Caenorhabditis elegans: one gene and its partner. The protein of the gene in region 2 purifies or fractionates together with the protein of the main gene of each other region. This does not show direct contact. Each region holds a gene or a part of one and is shown on either strand. Other genes may lie near its edges.

The links. Proteins that work in one complex are often made in the same cells at the same time.
Region 1: the proteins of K01A12.3 (region 2) and wshc-2 fractionate together in Caenorhabditis elegans (co-fractionation; one large-scale study listed by BioGRID). This does not show direct contact.

The regions. Positions count from the first base shown.
Region 1 is NC_003284.9:14,745,524-14,750,981, reverse strand, and holds wshc-2 (WASH complex subunit FAM21), read right to left. Parts: upstream 3,680-5,458; 5' UTR 3,643-3,679; coding exon 3,580-3,642; intron 3,527-3,579; coding exon 3,362-3,526; intron 3,266-3,361; coding exon 3,131-3,265; intron 3,082-3,130; coding exon 2,835-3,081; intron 2,386-2,834; coding exon 1,904-2,385; intron 1,855-1,903; coding exon 1,603-1,854; intron 1,489-1,602; coding exon 1,252-1,488; intron 1,207-1,251; coding exon 1,021-1,206; intron 976-1,020; coding exon of another isoform or gene 969-975; coding exon 744-968; intron 700-743; coding exon 634-699; 3' UTR 540-633; downstream 1-539.
Region 2 is NC_003284.9:8,620,047-8,626,746, forward strand, and holds K01A12.3 (putative G-protein coupled receptor K01A12.3), read right to left. Parts: upstream 5,145-6,700; coding exon 5,051-5,144; intron 4,820-5,050; coding exon 4,694-4,819; intron 4,494-4,693; exon of another isoform or gene 4,405-4,493; intron 4,320-4,404; exon of another isoform or gene 4,236-4,319; intron 4,024-4,235; exon of another isoform or gene 3,952-4,023; intron 3,790-3,951; exon of another isoform or gene 3,718-3,789; intron 3,630-3,717; exon of another isoform or gene 3,557-3,629; intron 3,419-3,556; coding exon 3,330-3,418; intron 3,240-3,329; coding exon 3,120-3,239; intron 2,378-3,119; coding exon 2,158-2,377; intron 2,112-2,157; coding exon 1,789-2,111; intron 1,734-1,788; coding exon 1,567-1,733; intron 1,491-1,566; coding exon 1,391-1,490; intron 1,338-1,390; coding exon 1,230-1,337; intron 668-1,229; coding exon 524-667; downstream 1-523.

The sequences.
Region 1 (5,458 bases), 6.1 Mb from region 2:
CGTATTGTAAAACAATTCATGTCAGCAAACTTTTACCAAAAACTCACAATCCACTTCATTCCATAATTGATATTTGTCCCATGATCATCATCGCATAACTTCCATGTACAAAAAAAATAAATACTGTTGAATCAACTGTGAAAAATAAATTACACAAAAAAATAAAGTTATTTCTGAAACATTTAAAAAATTGTATTTTTTTTAATAAATAGTTTTTGAGAATTCATAAGATTTGTGAAAGCTTCAAAGGACTTGCTAATGTCAAATTCAAAACCTAATTTTTTCTTTAATGTGCCCTTTTAATAAGTTCTTGGCAATGCTTTTTGGCAGTTTGAAACCTCAAACTTTGCCAGCTCTTTTGTGGCATAGCGGCCGGAAATTAGTTTTCTCTAGTTATCTATCGACAAAAAATATATCTGAATCACAGAACCTACAACACTAAAAAGATTGCGCCATTAGAAGTTCTAGATTCTAGTTGGCCACATTTTAAAAGTTCTTTTCACAAAATTCGATATTTTGAGACAATTTACACACCAGAAAAAAATTGTAAAATGTTCATATAGCAATTTTTACATAACTTTTCACAATCTTCATATATTTATTCACATGTTAGACCCATTATAAAAATTTCAACTAGTTTGACGACGACGCATTTGGACGAGTTGGTGGACGGCGGTTTGAAGGACCTCGGCAGCGACTCTGAAAGGTTTTCTTGGTGTTTCAAATAACAGACTATGTACTACCTTCAAAATACTACCGACGTGATCTTCTGGATTCTCAGCAGCGACATCATTTTCATCGCTAACCGGTAAGTTTTTGACAGGAATGTTAGGTGTAGAACCCGGGAGACGGAATGATTTTTGTAAGTCTCCTATTAGTGATATTTTTGCAGACATTGTTTCGCTTGGTGGCTCTTTTTTGGTAATTGATGGTTTTGCTGGTTTTGCTGGTTCAGATGATGAGGGTTCCTGAAAGCTAGTAAAAACGCTAATCATATGTATTTTCAGAAATCAATCATACCATTTCAGGTTGAGTGACAATTGACGAGTTTCTGTTTTTGGGAGCGATTGGTGTTTTCGGTTTTGTGGGTAGAGAGAACAAGTCTGAGTCAGAGTCACTATCATCAAAGAGTGACTTGGCGGCTGGTTTTTTGAATTCTACTTTGGGGATTACTGCGGTAGTGTTGGTGACAGGTGTTGGTTTTGGCTGCAATTTACATACTCTGTCCAGTGTATTTAGAACAAAACTTACCGCTGGAATATCAACAGCTTTTGGAACAACAACTGGCTCAATAGGCTTCTTCACAACGGGAATGGATTCCGTTTTAGCAACAGGCTTTGATTTTGAGAACGACTTTAAAAAGTCGTCATCAGAGTCCGAATCTGATGAGAACAAAGATTTTTTCGCAACTGGTTTAGTGGCTGGGACAGCAGTATGGTTTGTGGGTTTGACTTGAGGTGGCTGAGAAGGTTTTGGAGTCTCTACTTTCTGTAAAATATAACATTGTGAAAATAGGAGCATGACATTTCGGAAAAAAAATTGTGGCTTCGTGATGAGCGAAATATAAAGCTGAGCAAACAACTATTCACTCTATTCACTAACCTTGACCTCAACAGGCTTGGGTGGCACCGATTTCTTGACAACTTCTGTTGGCTGCTTCTTGATTGATGTAGTTGGCTTGAAGATGTCCGTGTCCGAGTCAGAGTCGGAGTCAAATAAGCTTGACACGAGCTTTTTAGTGTCCACTGGCTTTAACTCATTTGCTAAGATTTTTCTTGACAGAGCAGACTCGTCTGGTTTCGCTGGAGTCGCTTCAGCCGGTTTCACAGGAGTAGCCACAGCTTTTGGAAGCACCTGAAATACAATTTCATTACGAGTTTATTGTTATAAATATTTTAACAACCTTTGAAGCGGCTGGCTTTTCAGTTTTTGCAACCGTTGCAACTGCAGCGATGACTTCAATTTTTGGATGGCCAATCACAATCACCGGATCAGCAGAAATACTGGTCTTCACAACTTCAACCGTGCTTGTCTCCAGTTTTTTAACGGTCACCGATTCGGTCTCACTACTACCAAGCGGCTCACGATCCGTATCCGAATCAGAGTCCAAAAGCTTGGCTTTTGCGGCAACCTTTTTCTTCATTTCCCCAATCACTGAAGCCATAGCCGCCGGTCTCGTTGGGCCCTTCTCAATTGGCATAGCACTTTCGGATACCAATTTCTCATTGTGATGCTCTGCCAGGCTATTTTCGTTTTGTGAAGTGATACTAGCAACTTCTTTCGGTACGTCTTGAGGTGAGTGTTGAATCCCATTTTGACCGACTTGATCTACCAAGATGGCAGTAGTTGATGGAGATGGTTTTGGTGGCTTTGGCTGTGGCGGAGCTGAAAAAAACAAATTTAGTTTTGTGAATTTCTCATGTCAGGGCATATTCTCGTATTTATAAAGAAATAAAGTTCAATAAAATAAAAATGTATAAAGCTGGTTGGGAAAGTAGCAAAAGTTTGGCGAAGAAGTTGCGGGTGGCTAAAAAATTGTTCCTGTGAATTGGCGTTTTGTGTAAAAGGGTTATTCAAGAAGTGTCGGAAAATAAGAAAGTGTACAAAAATGACGTCACAGCTACATTGAAGTACAAGTTTTTCAGACGTGACATCATTTTTCTACATTTTTTTAATTTCCGACACTACTCCATAAGATTTAGGCTTGATAACAAATTCGTATCCGCTTATGAACGGAAAAACGTCGTTCTTTCCGTTGTCCTACCTTGAACTTTCAATATGAGTTATAAAATGTAACTTCCTGGATACATCATTTTCGAATTGAAAAACCCCACCTGCCAGTGTCACCGGCTCCTCAACGGTTTGTGCTACCCGTGGACCTATATCGATTTTTGGCTGCTCTACGCCATTTCCGATTTCCACACGTGATCTACTAGACTCCACAACTTCATCTTCATCTGAGCTAGATGCTCTTTGTCTATTCCTATTGGCTTGTGGTCTACTGGCACTTTGTCCATTTGCATTACCATTGGTTTCAGACTGCTCTCCAATATATCCGGACGTGAAGACTGTTGGATTTTCCTGGAGTTAGAGATTTTTTAAAAGTTTTTTGATGAATGAAAATACTCACCAGGAAGTTCATAGTGTTTCCGGCATTGATAATTGCGTTTTTGTAAGAATCCAAAAATTCCTGAGTGAACCCGCTGCTTTTTCTGCTATCAACCCGCATGTCTTCAGAATTTGGAATGTTTTGGGTAGAAATAACCTGAAAAAATGGAAAATTTATGAGGTATGTGGGAGGCTTGTACTTAAATTGAAATTTTTGGGTCCAATGACTTCAAAATTAAAAAAAAATGCTGACCTGCCTAACTGCTTTGTGATTTTTAAGATTGGCCATCCGTGATGCTGCACTATTAACTCGTAATGCTACAAGTCTCGAAAACTTTTCCAAATCATTGGCTTTACGCTCGACTTGTGTCATTCTTTGGTTCATTCTTGTTGATATGTCACGAGCCATTTGAGTCAGCTGAAATATTGATTGAGTGAATTATGAAACCATGAAAATGAAAATATATTTACCTCTTTATCGACTTTCAATGAGTTTGGATTAATATTTGTGTTAAGGCACTCATTGTGTTGCATTTTTCCCCGTTTGGCTATTAATTACCAAATTCTGAAATAAAAATAAGTAACTATCAAAGTTATTCAAAAATTGTAATGAACAAGAACCGATAAAAAAATAATAATAACCAATTGTGTAAACAGACAAAAGTGCGCAGCTGGCGCATTTCTCGAGAGTAGTTGCTGACGTACTACCGGTGCAGTGTTGCCGCTGCCCATTGCGAAAGAGTGCGGTGGAGAGAACGAGATAACGCAAAAAAGGGAAGGCGGCTGACACACAGTGAGAAAAGATGAATGGGAGTCTTGTGGAAATGTGAAAAAATATTGCAGAGAATGTTGGAAATAACGTTATAACTATGTAAAAAATCTATAAGTTCTAAAGATTTTTGTATGTTAACAGTTGAAAAAAAAACAAAGTTATTAGGTGAAAATATTGTTAGAAAAAATTGAACTTACATCATGATGTTGGAAGGTTTCCGAAAAAAAAAGTTACCTAAATATAGTTATAAAAAATGCCAAATTGGTCGTTTATCTTACAACATTTCGTTGATTAAGTTAAAATTTAAGTAATAGGTATTCAAAAGAGATTGACATGTGCAATAAAGAATGAAGTAGAAAAAAATTTTTCACCTTTGCGGCACGGACTTATTTGCAAAATTTGGGTTTTAAGTTAAAAATAAGGACATAATTTTCTCGAAATTTTGCACCTCTATAAAAAAATTAAATTTTTTTTGAGACACTTTTGAGAATTCTCATTACGAAATTAGTGCATTTAGGCAGATTTTGAGTTTATACAAAGAAAAAACCCAAAGTAGATACTCCTCTTTTATGTGCATTTTCGATTGAAAAGTGCTCAAAAGTTGACAAATTAGCACACCAATCGACCGAAAATTTACTTCCAGCTATTCCCAAAAACTCTGAATTCGAGTGTAATCGTTCAAAGGTGGAGTACAAAAATTTGAGACGTAGCTTTTTTTAGGCCCAAAATGGCTTAAAACTACCAAATTTTGGAATGAGACGTTCTGAAAATTTCTCAACCAAAAGTTATGGTGCCGCTCAAAGTTTTGGAAAAACTGGGCAATTTTTCAGTGTGGAGCTTAATTTTCATTCAATTATTATCTTTTAATGTCTTCACAATTTATAGTTATCTCGTTAATTAAGATGTTTTTTTGCCGATGCGGGCACACTTTCTATACATTTTTGGAAGCTACAAAAAAGTTGAGATATTAGCTAAAAAATGAACGTTTCTTTCAAATCATAACTTTTTTTTGAGAACAGAACGTCTTATTTTGAAATTTGGTAGTTTTGGACCATTTGAGTTAAAAAAGCAAAGCCCGAATTTCGGTACCCTCCCTCTTTTAAGCCTGTAAAAATTTAGAGGGGGGGGGGGGAATTTTTTGAGATAGTTAAACCGTTTTTTGAATGTTAATTTCATGAATTTTAGAAGCGTGAACCTAAAAAAATACCGCATAATTCATTATTTTTGTTAAACCATATGCCTAATAAATTTTATGTTTTTATTTTGGCAACAGCAGCCCATTTGTTAAGTGACCCCATATGCAGCATCGATACAGTTTTTTTTTAATTGGTGGTCACTTTTTTCCGTCTCAAAAAAAAACTAGGTTATCTTTTTTTCACTTTTCAATCTGTCCTTTCGAAGATGTTTTGATATCGCTTTCGTAAAAGATATGCAGTTTTTTTCCTGAAAAATAGAATAGCTGGACAAACTTTAACTTAACTTACATGCCCATTTCAAATGTTTCTTTCAAATTTCCCTTCTTCCTTTACCCTCGAATGCACATGTTGCAAAATCCAGGTCACCGCAATAAAATACCAT
Region 2 (6,700 bases):
TTACAGTTTTATTCTAAATAAATTACTTGAATATAGGCAATAAACTATTTTACGTACACTATACAAGAACCAAACGTTAATGTTAATATGCAAAAGTAGGCGGCAGGTAAGCACGTAGGCTTATAAAATTTCCGCCAAATAAGACAATTTTACAAAGTGCAATGTTTTTCAATGTTATAAAATTTGATTATGGCTTTATTAGAATGTCAATTCATGGTAAAACATGGAATAAATGTGTGATAATGAGGAGATGTGGTAATTTTTAAAAGTACAATGAAAAAAGAAAACCGAAAGCTATGCAATCAAATTGAAATATCACAGTCGCGAGAACTCTCTTTGTTAGTGCACAACACGGGAACACACAACAACATGGAAGATTTTGTTCATATGAACTCACAAATTTGGGTGACAGATAGAAACATGTAAAAATGGTAATTTTGGCAAGAATCAGATGTTCATAGATCATTAGAGAGGAAAAAGAGATCATCAAATAAGATGTGTAGTTGGTCATCCATTAAAATAATTAAATGCTCGCTTTTTTGGCAAATTTCACCCAATGCTCAACTGTTTGCCGCCCCAAATCTAGCACGATAGATTTCGCCTCTCGTTCGCTGTCAAATCGGGATGATCCACCTTGATTGTGAGCAGATTCCAATTCTTTTGTGAACTGTAAAAAATTAATAATTTCAGCGGAACTTTTTTTAAAATTTACTGATACTAATTAGAATGGTTTACACATATTGATGAACTAAACTCTGAAGAGTAGATACATAAAAAAAACTTTATTCCAATTTTTTTTAAACAGTAACATAATCGAGTTTTCAAGATTTTCTCAATAATGTTTTGTTTGATGCAATTTATTACTCCATTTAGTTTTAATTGTTGGATGGTATGTATACTAACTACTCTTGAGCATTACTGCCTTTCACCTTTATGAGTTTAGTCATCACTTTAAAAATTTTAATAACCGTTCTTTAAAACGTATTGAAAGTTTTGTCTCAAGCTGTTTTCGTGTACAAAAAGTAATGGGTTAAATTAGAATAACTTTTTTTTAAATGAAAAATGGTGCGATTGAAAATTTTTCAATTCCGACTCTCGATACCTCGCTTGCTATGCATTAAGTTTATCAAAAAATATGTCTTTTTTTTGGGTATAGATTAAAGCTTAAGCTTTAGAAAAGTTTAGTATACCATTTTAAATTTTGAATAACTAGAAAGACAAGTCCTTACCTCTGGCTGGAATGGTTCATCATCGCTACTTTCCCTCCATCCCTCACTGGAATCGTACAATGGGTTGACTCTCATTATGAACTCGCATAGCTGCTCAAAGTCTCGACTCTTCAAATAACAATTATAAAAGTTTAAAGAATATGTGCTCGTGCAACACTCACCTGCATTTGCAGTGAATTGCGCACAAAATTACCGTCCCTGTTTGTACGGCCCGATCGAGCTGATATTCGCGTCGATTTCATTCCAGCTGCGTTGGATCGTCTGGAAATTTTCGAAATATTGAATTAAAATGTCGTGAATATATTTTTTTAGCATTTCGAAAAAGAAACAAGCATACTTAGAAACATTATGTCGCCCATGCATTCTGAAGGGGTGACTCGATCTTCGTTTTCTGATTTGATATCGAATCGCCGCACATGTTAAGATTTCTTTGTATGTCAAGCGCATTCTGTCATTGAAATATGCATAAATAAATGGGTTACAGGTATGATTGCACAACCATAACTGAAAAAATAACTTTGCAAGTTTCAATTTTAAGTTTAGAAGTTTTGAAGCTTACGAGATGAAGAATAACTAATTGCCACCCGGAAAGATATTCAAATGCATATGGTTTGATGAAAAAGAGAAATGTAGAAATTGTGCACAAAATTGATGGGTAGAAGAATTGAAACGTCAGTCGAGCCTTGAAATTGCCAGTTACAATTATTTCATTGAGCGCTAAAATTACCTGTTTCCTGAATCTGTTTGCTGAGTTTTGATTAAGTTTGTTTTTGCTGATTTTCTTTTTTACTTGACGAATTTTCAGCAAAACCAAAGTTGAGCACACCCATTGAGCTCCAAGACCGAGCAGATTTGCAGCGCAAAGAAGTGTGAAAAACAGGGCTAGAATATCAAAAATTGTACATTTTTAATTAAAAGTGCAACATACTCGTGTGAGGTCTTGGTTCTAAAAAACTGATACTCCACATAGTTCTCTGTATTCCAATCATTGGCTGGGACAGTGTTCCAACAAGTGCCGCTGCAATTCCGACTATCCATGTACTTGCAGAACAAGCAACAGCAACTGATACTTGATTGAGTGCTCTTGCTTTAGTTCCATAATAACATATTGCAATGCATCGGTTCGTTCCTAGCATTGCGTAGCTGATCTGAAAATATGAATTACTTTAAAGCGTTAATTATAGAAAAAGTTTCAAATTTTTTATTTAAAAAATTTTCTTCAGGTTAAGATTTTTCTTTTCGCTTGGAGAATGTTATTTTAAAGATATTAAAGCAAAACTTAAATTTATTCACTTCTGGAAAAATTAATAAAGGTAGGTTTTTTCTTGGTACAAGAGTGAGCTGACAAAGCCTCCTGCGGATAAGAGATTTGTCAGGGTTACAGGTGGCGTTTTTACCTCTTCTCGTCTCAAGCATGCCCGATTTACCTGCCTTGAACCAATTTCACTACCCACTTTCCGAGCCGGCTTGGTGAGCCTTTGGGTTGGGTGGGGTTGATCTTACGACCTCTTAGGTAAAAGTGCTACACCACCACCACTTAGACACTCGTGCCCCCTAAAACTGAGTGTACTAATATTTTTTGAAATATTTTGTAATGTTTTTATAGTTAAGTTAGTTTACTAACAAATATTCATAGATTCTGAGAGGTAGGCTATAGTTTTTTTTTTTTAACTTTTTTGCAAAACAAAAAATTTAGGTATTCAAAGAACTTATTTTTTGGAACAAGATAGTGTTCTTTCTGAGTTGAGCCCCCTTTTGTTAAATATATGTCTGCAATTTTTCTTGCGAAAAGGAAGTATGTCACTTTTTTTTCATATTTTCTCTGAAATTTAATATTGGTGACATAGAGGCCCGCCTTCACTTATGCATATTTTGCAGTTAAACACTGACCACTCCAGCTGTCCATGCAGCGACAAATGAAAACGAGAGCACCGCGTGAATATTTCCAGTCTCGAAACCAGCTGCTGATGAATCTGTTTTTGAGTCGTTTCGGAGCGACACAGGGGCAATCTATAATAAAACGTTCAGATAGTGCAGCTTGAACTTGAAAAAATTAAGAGATGTCGAAATTTCCAAAAAATAGATTTCTTGAAAAATTACCTTCTGGTATGGTTCTTCAAGACTGGGAATGAATGACGTGAGATCATTTGGATTTGGCCACATAACATCCATCCCGCATGCTACACCAGCTGAAATTAAATTCTATTATTTTAAGTATTTTGCAAAACTTAAAAAAATGTGTTTATCATTTTGAATTTTGAAACAGCAAATTTTTTAGGATGAAACTATTCAGCAAACCAACTTAAATCGAAGAAAAGGTAAAACGTGGCCGCGTGGGGCAATGGATAACGCGTCTGCCTACGGAGCAGAAGATTGTAGGTTCGAATCCTGCCGTGGTCGTAACCTTTTTAAAATTCGTTCTCTCTTTTTTAGGAGTACGGTTTGCCAATTTTTCAAAAAACAAAAGTCGATGTGTCAAAAATTATTTAGGGGGCACCCGGAGTTGAACCAGGGACCTCTCGATCTGCAGTCGAATGCTCTGCCACTGAGCTATACCCCCATGTGGTCAGCAAATATTTGACTTTTTTAAGAAAAGAGAGAGGGAATTGGCGGACAAGAATCATTGCAGAAAAGATAATGATAAATGGAAATCAATCGGGCTGAAGTAACAGCGCTCTATTGAACTACTTGCTAGGTTACAGTTGTTGTTCAAAAAGTATTTAGGGGGCACCCGGAGTTGAACCAGGGACCTCTCGATCTGCAGTCGAATGCTCTGCCACTGAGCTATACCCCCACATTCGTTCACGCTTTGGGCTTTAGAGAAATGATGGACAATTTGTTGAGAAAAAACCAAAAGCTGTGTGGGAAATTGGACAAACGCAGACACGGTCAGTTGTCCATCCCGGCGTATTTGTCCTTCACGGAGAACGTCCAAAACAGTTTATTTGGTCATATCTCCGCAAAATGTCAATCATTTTCCCGTAGCTGGATCACTTTTGTACATGTGGGGGTATAGCTCAGTGGCAGAGCATTCGACTGCAGATCGAGAGGTCCCTGGTTCAACTCCGGGTGCCCCCTATATACTTTTTTCTTAATTTTGGGATTTTTTACCAAATGACTGCAAGCCGTACAGCAGAAAATGTATATTAGCCGAAAACATCGAATAAAAAAATTTAAATGTTTTCGACCACGGCAGGATTCGAACCTACAATCTTCTGCTCCGTAGGCAGACGCGTTATCCATTGCGCCACGCGGCCACGTTTCGGTGTGACTCAGATTTCACTTTTTACCCCCTAGAAACATTTTATCAAGTTTTTTGTGATACTGATGATCAGGGGTGAGCGGAAATCGAATTTTCGGCTATTTCGGCAATTGGCGAAATTGCCGAAAATTTCCGATCGCCGTGCACAGCAGTTGATGATATTGTAAAAAGTTTTCAACTACTAATTTTTTGTGAAAGTTACCAATTAACATGACAATACTGTCTGCCAGTGCTACATTTGCCATTATTGTGTATGCGGAAAGGCGAAACACTCGGTTGGTCAGAATCATGATAACCGTTGTTACATTGCAGAAGACTCCCAAGAGACCTGCAAAAAACTTTTGTTCGAGAATTTTCATTGTATTTATAGAGTATATAGGTTTCTCCTAGTCTCCTAGTCCCATCAGTAATAAGACCCATCAGTAATAAGCACTTGTAAATGATTCACTGTGCGCATCGAAAAAAATCCCGGAGGAATTTTTTTCAATATTACCAAATAGAACAAATGAGAAAATATATTTTTAATGTTTCCAAAAAAAAACAGTACGCCCCGACTTACCAACAGCTGTGTATGCCACACCGACAATTGAGATGTATGAGTCGAATGTGAAAAACGAGATCATATCGGCCCGATGTCTAGTAACCGACTCCATTTTTCCTTGCAACGCTACCACATACCGTGGAACAATTGATCACTGTTACTAAAAAAATTGTTGAAATTGGAAAGTAGAAATGAGATAGAAAATAAGAATGGAGCTAGAAAATGTGGGTTGAGTCAATGAGCTAGTAGAAGAGGAGGGCATGTGCTTGAGAGCTCAAGAGCAACTATTGAATGTCACTATTTTTCAGTCAAGAATTTTTAAAGCTTTAACAGGCCTGCCTACGAGAATGGGAACATTACTTGCCAAAATGTTGTCTTCCAACAGATTAGTTAAAATGAGTGAGCGTGAAATGTGTCAAACACCGAATACTGATTTCAAAAATAGAAGATAGGTAGGTAGGCACGAATGAACACGTGATTGCCTGCTAGGTGAGATTAATGACAAAACGAAGTCGAAAAAGAAGACGTTGTAAACTAAGGTAAACAAGATACTGGAAGTAGCTTATCCCATTCAAACAATATTCCATTCAAATCTATAATTTTTTAGATTCATAAGATTTCATTTACAGAGGAGTATATAGAAAATAATGACGATATTGAATGTTTTGTTGTCAGGGGCGTGCAATTGCAATTATTGAGCAAAAATCTTATTTCCTTTAATTTATGGTGAATGAGATTTGGAAAAAAAGTGTTGCTTCAATTTTCCAAAGCTAAAAGCTGAAGCGTATTTTATTTTCCTAATAAATTCGAAAATTCCGAAATAGAGTAAAATTGCCTACAGACCAGACACAATAATTTCTTTTAACATTCATTTGACAGTGGCATTATCAAACTTCAAGTCCTGATTTTTTCAGAATGAAAAAAAAAACAGCTGAAACTTTTCAAGACAAGAGTCAAGTGCGTCGGACGGTTGCCAAGAGCTGCAGACACGTATACATGCATAAATGCAGCTGGTACTAAACTTTGAAGTGCTCTGAGGTGATATGTTTTACAATAGGATATCAAAATATATATAGCTTTTTTGGGTATTGTGTAAAACAAGGTTTGAGCGAGTTTAGTAACCAACTCGATACGGGGAGCCATAAAATCGCTCACACAGCGCTCCAATATCTAAAAGTGGCTCGGTTTCTTTTTTCTTTCAGTGTCATGGTGTATAGCTTTTCAACTCAGTGAAATTATAACTTCTGGTGAGAAGGGTGGCATTTATCTTGTATCCAAGCACCCTTCAATTGACGTTTCAATTTTACAAAAGTGCTTGTTTTGGTGTTTGAGAATGAGGGAACATATAACGTGAATCTATGGGGATTGTGGTGTAGAGGGGTTAACCTTTTTTTTTAGCAAAACTTGAGAATCGCCTTTAAACTTTAAACAATTTGAATTCAAAACCTTTTTTATTATCTAAATGTGCTTCAAATTGCTTCAAGTGGATCTAATATATAAAATATTAAAAAAAACGAAAACCCCTTTTTATGGAAAAATTCTTTTGATTGATGAAAAGTGCGCAACACACAGCTAATAAAACGCAAAAAAGAACAATTACGTTATAACTAAATTTCGGACGCTACAATACATGTAAGAATAGTTTCAGACTCCAATTACAGTTTTCTT